Linked DNA regions of Danio rerio. The protein of the gene in region 1 interacts with the protein of each later gene in a biochemical or structural test. Links are inferred from orthologs where the notes say so. Each region holds a gene or a part of one and is shown on either strand. Other genes may lie near its edges.

Region 1 (3,685 bases):
TGTTTTACACAGCGGATGTCCTTCCAGCTGTAACCCAGTACTGGGAAATACCCATACACACTCATTCACACACACTCATTCACTATGGCCAATTTAGTTTATCCAATTGACAGAAATGCCAACTGGCCCAGCTGGGACTTGAACCAGCGACCTTCGTGCTGTGAGGCCACAGTGCTGACCCATGAGCCACCACGTCACCTCTGAAACTATATTGAAAAACAGGAATAAAGCAGTAAGTGTGAATGTGTAAACTCACAGTGTAAAGCCGTCCGGTTGGGTGAGATTGGTGTTGTAGGGTGGACCGCTGGGGTGGAGATCGGGCCCAGATATGGGTACGACTGCTCATACGACCAGGATGGAGACGTCTGCATCTGCCGGGAGTCTGAAAACACACATCTAAGACTTCAGAAAAGCTCTTGATAACACCAACCTGGACTTTCTCTTTCATTATTTCAGCAAATAGGATTGTAAAGAAAAGATTTGTTGTGCTCTCGCATTCACTGCGTTCACCAACTATGAGCAAAGATGAGAAACAAGCTAAAGTGGAAAGGCTCCATAATAATAATAATACAGTGTGTAATGAACGCTGCCGATGGCTTGCAGACTTCCAGACTAAAGGGGAGAGAGAGAGAGACAGAGAAAGAGAGAAAGTGGCCTGTTTTAAGTTGAGCCAGAGAATGAAGCGCTGCCAGAGCCAGAACAGGCAGAACCAAACACACAGCAGCAGGAGACACACATGACTGGAGGAGGCTGGAGGCACATTCAACATCCGCTCACACACACACACACACACACACACACACACACACACACACACACACACACACACACACACAAACACACACACACACACACACACACACACACACACACACACACATAAATACACACACATGTTGCCGACTAATACTAAAAGCACTTGGTAACAGAAAAGCCTGGTAAAGGTTGATCATACTGTGAATGCCGTACAGAAATCAAGACTTTCAATTTAAGACCAAATACTAATAATAAAAATAAATGTGAATACATCGTGAAGCTGTGAAGAAAATAGAGAAAGAATAATGAGTCTGTGTGTGTTTCTGTCTCTGTGTGTATGTGTGTTTTATGTATGTATGTATATATATGTATATATGTATGTGTATATGAGTGTGTGTACATGTGTAGGTATGAGCATATATGTGTGCATATAAGTACAGTATGTGTGTATGCATATATGTGTGTGTCCACGTACTCTCTGTCTGTGTGTGTGTGCGCGTACATGCGTGTGTGTGTGTGTGTGTGTGTATACATGTGTTTATATGTGTATTGATGTGTTTTTTGATAAACACATAAATAAACAACAATGCATACTGTAGTATACTTTAGTCTTTACTACATTAAACTGTGGTGTATTGTAGTACAACACACCCTATAATTGATGATTTGTTTATATTACCTTAGTTCTTGCATTACCATAGCAACTGTAGAATCAATACAACAGATTAATTATTAAAGTTTTTGTGTTACCATAGCAACTGTAGAATTACCACAACAGATTATTTACTAAAGTGTTTGTGTTACTATAGCAACTGTAGAATTACTACAACAGATTATTTACTAAAGTGTTTGTGTTACCATAGCAACTGTAGAATCACCACAACAGATTATTTACTAAAGTGTTTGTGTTACCATAGCAACTGTAGAATCACTACAACAGATTAATTATTAAAGTTTTTGTGTTACCATAGCAACTGTAGAATCACCACAACAGATTATTTACTAAAGTGTTTGTGTTACCATAGCAACTGTAGAATTACCACAACAGATTACTTACTAAAGTGTTTGTGTTACCATAGCAACTGTAGAATCACCACAACAGATTAATTATTCAAGTTTTTGTGTTACCATAGCAACTGAAGAATCACTACAACAGATTATTTACTAAAGTGTTTGTGTTACCATAGCAACTGTAGAATTACCACAACAGATTATTTACTAAAGTGTTTGTTACCATAGCAACTGTAGAATCACCACAACAGGTTATTTACTAAAGTTTTTGTGTTACCATAGCAACTGTAGAATCACCACAACAGATAATTTATTAAAGTTTTTGTGTTACCATAGCAACTGTAGAGTCACCACAACAGATAATTTATTAAAGTTTTTGTTACCATAGCAACTGTAGAATCACCACAACAGATTAGTTACTATAGCTTTTGTGTTACCATAGCAACTGTAGAATCACCTCAGCACATTAGTTACTATAGCCTTTTTGTGTTACCATAGCAACTGTAGTCACCACAACAGATAATTTATTAAAGTTTGTGTTACCATAGCAACTGTAGAATCACCACAACAGATTAGTTACTATAGCTTTTGTGTTACCATAGCAACTGTAGAATCACCTCAGCAGATTAGTTACTATAGCTTTTTGTGTTACCATAGCAACTGTAGAATCACAACAACAGATTAATTACTATAGTTTTTGTGTTACCATAGCAACTGTAGAATCTCCACAATAGAGCCATTTAAGTATGGCTGAAAACACTAGAGTATTTACTGTAGATTAGTGTAGTATTGTGTCATGTGGAATGTAAAGGTAAACTGGTCTCCACACGTTCAGTCAAACACACAGCTGCTGCTGATTTACAGAGACGCAGCGGAGGAAAAGAATCAGCAGCAGCAGCAGCAGCTCTTCAATGACTTAATAACGGTTTCCGCTGGCCGAGATCCTGCTGCTATTTCTGTCTGGAGGATCAGAGAGAAACGTTCTGTTCTGCTGCACTTCAGCCATTCACACTCTCACCACTCCATCATGCAGATCACTGACACACACACACACACATACACACACTTGTATACACACACCCACACACATACTCAAACTTGCATGCACATACACACACAGACACATGCACACATACACTTTTTATTCTCTTTATTCCATCTTCTATCATCAAATGTAACTAATTATGTAATTATTAATCAGAATTTCTATAAACTATTAATAATAAAACAATTGTATATAAACATAGATATATAATATATACGTAATAATTGATCAACTGGCAAAATTCTAATATACTTTTATTTATTAGTCACAGACCGGCTTATAATAACGCACAAAACTTAATGTGATTAATAATGATTAATAACTGATGGATAAAATCAAGCAGCTCTGGCTTCGGTTGCGCTTTGAATGAGGGATTTTCACACAAGCCTGTTTCCTGTCAAACGCGTCTCACTTCCTCTTTTCTGCGTTCTGCTTCCTCCTCGTCACACACGCATGCAAGGTGCTGGTGTCGTTCCGTCTCTCACACACACCTTTCTCCCATCTGCACGCGCCAAGAGGAAGAGAAACTAAGAGGATGTCAGTGTGTAGAGCAGGAGGCGGTGTGTGCTTCGGATTGGGAAATGTTTTCAACAGCGCATGAAAAGCAGAAGTGCCAAACATAGAGCTGCAGCAGTCGGAGCGCTTCCCAGAACACCACGCTCACTGTCCACACCGCTGATCAGAAGGCTGTTTCTTTTAAAGGATGCCTTTTTAAATATGGCATTAAAGATATGTGCAATGCTATTTCTGTTAGCTGCTTTCTATTCATCAAACAATCCTAAACATAAAACGTGCCATGATTTCCATAAAAATATGAGAAATGTGTTTTTAAATTGATAGTAACAATAGAGCGGAGGTGAAAAATGTTCAAAA
Region 2 (4,280 bases), about 13 Mb from region 1:
ATATCCCGATTCCCTTGTCTTTAGGATTTATTAGCCTAAATAACCATAACATAAATAGCCGGGTCCGTCACATTTTAGGGTCTCCAAGAAACATTTGCAGAGCGTTTTTATAAAATGTTTGCTTTGTGAGAAAATGCAGTGCATTTTATTAATTGCATTGTGATGATTTGCAACATGTATGCTTTCAAACAGATAAAGATCTTTTATGTAATCGCTGGCATTTTTTGTAATTTGCACGTGTTTTCTTAAATTGCAGCACGTTAAGCTTTCTCGGCCACTGTAGTAATACAAAAGTTTTTACATTTGTTAAGAAGAATAGTCAACATTATCTACCACTGGCAAAAATTTCTAAAGTATTTATTAATTTTATTTTGCATTACATTTATATTTAGTCATTCAGCAGAACCTTTGTCCAAAGTGACTTACAATTGAGGAGGCATTCAGTGATTCATGAAGAAAAGGCAACACCCAAGAAGTGCTAATTATACAAGGAAACTGTTAGTGCTAGGGTAAAACCCTGCTCACACTGTGAGATTTCAGCCATGATTTTGTCATCTGAGACTAATTTGGGAAATCCTAAATGATTTCTGAAATCCTAGGCGAAAATCGATAATCTTTGATTGTTGGTTTGACATGTTCACTGACAGCCGCTTGGTGCCCGTTGCGATCAGATTTCACTTTTCTGCAGTGTGACAACAGCTGCAATGAGCGTCAATCCAAGAACCAATGGCAGTTTCGAATTTGATGATGCAATCCATGCGACAATTCAATTGACAGCAGGAAAACGTCAAAACTTTTTTATTTTTTTCTGGTTTTATTATGGAGACAAGCTGTGCACAAAATTGCCGTTACAGATAGTTTACGTTTGCTGCGAAGAATAATTTCACAGCGTTGGATAGTGAAAGTATCCCGGGCCGATGACGTCAAACTCCGGGAGCATTCTCTTTTATGTTTGTCGCATCCTCATTGTAGTTCAGTCTGACTTTATGACAGCTGAGATCTGTGACATGGGAGACTTGTTCGTGCAGTCTGATCCTATTCTTCAATGCGGAAGTGCGCTCGTTTTTGCGATTGTTTTAGAGCTTCCGATTCAGCTGCCAATGGGAGAAATTACTAAGAATAATAAACGACAGGAAACTGTCAAACTACTCTCTCTACAAACAAGTGTTTGCATGGCTATAGAGACAAAATAGAATAATATAAGCAAATATCAGTTGGCAACATCAGGCAGCAAAACAAGCTGTTTTTAATGTCTAAAAATCGATGGAAGTGAATGAGATCGGAAGTCTCGAGCCAAAAAGATTGTGCCTGCTCAAACGTCGAGAATAAAGTGAATAGAGTGAAGAATGTTTCTACAGGTGGTTTGCCACTCACCTGTGTGAAGCACACTTCATGAATGCATGGTGTTTTGCTAGAGATATGTCTGGTGCAAATTTGCAAAACTGGTGCAAGTGTTGGTTAAAGTGGTAGAGATTAAACAGTGTGTTTTCTACAGGTGATTTGTCAAGCCCACTCAGTGAGGTGCACTCATATTTGAAATAGGTCAATTTCAGTATTTTCTGACACATTATTGAGGTCAAAAATTATCTCTCATGGTTATTAAATGGACATATGCTAACAATAAACCAGTTCTTTTTAATACCATTACAACCCCAATTGTACAATATGTAAAGATCAGTAGCCTAGATAGTCAATCACCCCTTGCCAAAGGAATTGATCAAATTGTAGAAGAAAAGCTTGTGGCATGATTTCAACACTAGAGTAATGCCTTGCTTATAAGATCGTTATCAGACTTGTCTGCATTTCACAGTAACAATTACATGTCAGCAAATACAATCCTGACATTTACCATAAGCGTGCATGTAACATCACTGTTTACACCAGTGACTACAACAAAGTCCTGATCCTGCACTACTCTCTCCAAATAAGTGGGCGTCACAATATAAACCCTAAAGGAAATAACACAAACCGATGTTATCTCAATCCCTTAAAAGGAAAACCTACACTTAAAGTATAGATGTACTCTATTAAGGAATAAAGACAGCTTTTTTTGAGCATAAACCTTGTGAACATCGAACATCTCTGACACAACTGCCGTGGATACATTACAAAGCTAAAATATAAATCTCACATAAGCTAATTTAATTTTAAAACCCCTTACTTAAACAAAAAGTCACATTTTAACAAGAAAACAGATGTATGAACAGCGTAACGTTACATGGTTATAGTTGTCAACTCTGCTAGCATTTAGCTTAGCCAGTCTGCAAAATGACGACACATGCGAGCTGAAACACAACAAATGCAGCCACTTCTAAACATATAAAAGAAAAAAATACTTGTCTACATTTAAGGCATGCTCTTTATATTGCAAAGAGAAACTAAAGAGCACCGCAAAGTGCCTCATTAGCTTCGTTACACAGAGCTAAGCTAATACAACCGCAGAGTCCCTGCTAATGCTTCTTCGGGGTATGGGTGGCATAAAAGTAGATTTCTTACCTTAAAAAGCTGATTTTCCGAATAAAACCCACGCTCTGAGTAGGTCTGGTTTACACAGATATAAGAAACATGGAGTTTGGCCGCGGTGGTGTGTGAGAGCCCGTCAGACTGTTGTCGTTAGCGGCTAAACGCTAACACACCTGATCATCACATACACATATATACGGGTCTCTCCAAACAGACACACTGAACTAGTTCACTGACTACTGATGATGATGATGATGATGATGGGCCTCCAGCACTACCCACTAGTGCAAGTCAAACCAGACTCTATGATGATCAGGCACAGAGGACACGATGTTGTGTTTGCAGACTGTATCCAGCTCAGAATCATAGCAGTAAGACACCGACCGAGAGAAAGAGAAAGAAGATAAAGAGAAAGAGAAAGAGAGAGAGAGAGAGAGAGAGCCCACACCCTCAGAAGTTAATTACTGCCTCGATGTTTAATGAAATAATAAATAATCAAAGACAGTGTGTATTTGGTGTTGTTTTCATAATTAATGATATGTCCATTTAAATCTTTTAGCTATATTTTGGTCTTTATCATTCCTATTTTGTTCTCAAAATATTGCAGTATATGTAGTGTTGTAAGCACAGTCATGTCATAAAAAGTTTTACACTTAAACCCGCAAGTTTTTAGGTCCTTAACAAAACAAAATACAAAAACAAAAGCCTCTAATGATAGCTAATATTAATTTTATATGTTTACCACTGGAATAATGAAAGCAAGTGTGTGGCAAGGCACGTGCTGTTATAAATCACACAACTGAAACAAATTTCAATATTTATAACCATTCTTCATTTTTCGTCAGAAACATATAAAATGTTTTAGCAGAAAATACTAACAGTAACATTTATACAATAATGTAATATGTTGAGCTCATGGATGTACTATACTATGAGTGATTAATTAAAACATATAAATATGTAGATGTGTACATTTGTTTAAACTTACAGCATAAATATTAGCCATATAGGCTACACATCAGTTTCTTTATTCAAATACATATTTGTAATTGTGTGCTGAGGGTGCTTCAGCATCCCCTGCCGGAAGCTGTGAAATTTAACATGACATGACTAGCATTATAATTTTTTATCATTATAATTTTTACTATCATTATTATTATTATTATTATTATTATTATTATTATTCATTTTATTATTATTCATTTTGTTATTATTATTCATTTTATTATAATAATTATTATTATTATAATTATTATAATTAATATTATTCATTTTATTATTATTCATTTTGTTATTATTATTCATTTTATTATTATTATTATTATTATTATTATTATTATTATATTATTTTTTATTATTATTAAAATTTGTACAATTACTAATAAATTGTTCAAGATATTTTTTTCAGTTTTTACATTTTATAAAATGTGGTTTGTGCCAGAAAATAAAAAAATAAATAAAAATGAATCTTATGTGAGGGACATAACTATGTTTAAATTAGAATAGTTGAATATAAAAACCCTGCCCCCAAACATATGTATATCAATTTATAATAGAATACACACAATTTATAGATTACCTTAAAACCGGACTTTTATTGAAATTTGTCTGCAGTTTAGTTTGCATCAATAGTTTTCAGAATATTTGGAAAAGTACAGATTTCCAGCAAATATGTCGTAGCTACAGATCTGGTAAAGACTTGGTGAAAGGGGTGGTTCTTTTTTTCTTCAAAAGTGGACTTTTTTTTTTTTGCAGTTATTCGCCTCATTTCTATTTAACTGTGGCTAAAGTACTCTATTTAAAGATATTTTAAGCAC

What was found.
Region 2: the proteins of runx1 (region 1) and elf2b form a complex in vitro, tested with the Homo sapiens proteins (2 studies listed by BioGRID and IntAct). The link is inferred for Danio rerio from reciprocal best matches to the Homo sapiens genes RUNX1 and ELF2.

Annotation. Positions count from the first base shown.
Region 1 is NC_133176.1:2,052,307-2,055,991, forward strand, and holds part of runx1 (runt-related transcription factor 1), read right to left. Parts: intron 383-3,685; coding exon 257-382; intron 1-256.
Region 2 is NC_133176.1:15,381,754-15,386,033, forward strand, and holds the start of elf2b (ETS-related transcription factor Elf-2b), read right to left. Parts: upstream 2,842-4,280; 5' UTR 2,497-2,841; intron 1-2,496. UniProt on the Homo sapiens protein: Isoform 1 transcriptionally activates the LYN and BLK promoters and acts synergistically with RUNX1 to transactivate the BLK promoter. Isoform 2 may function in repression of RUNX1-mediated transactivation.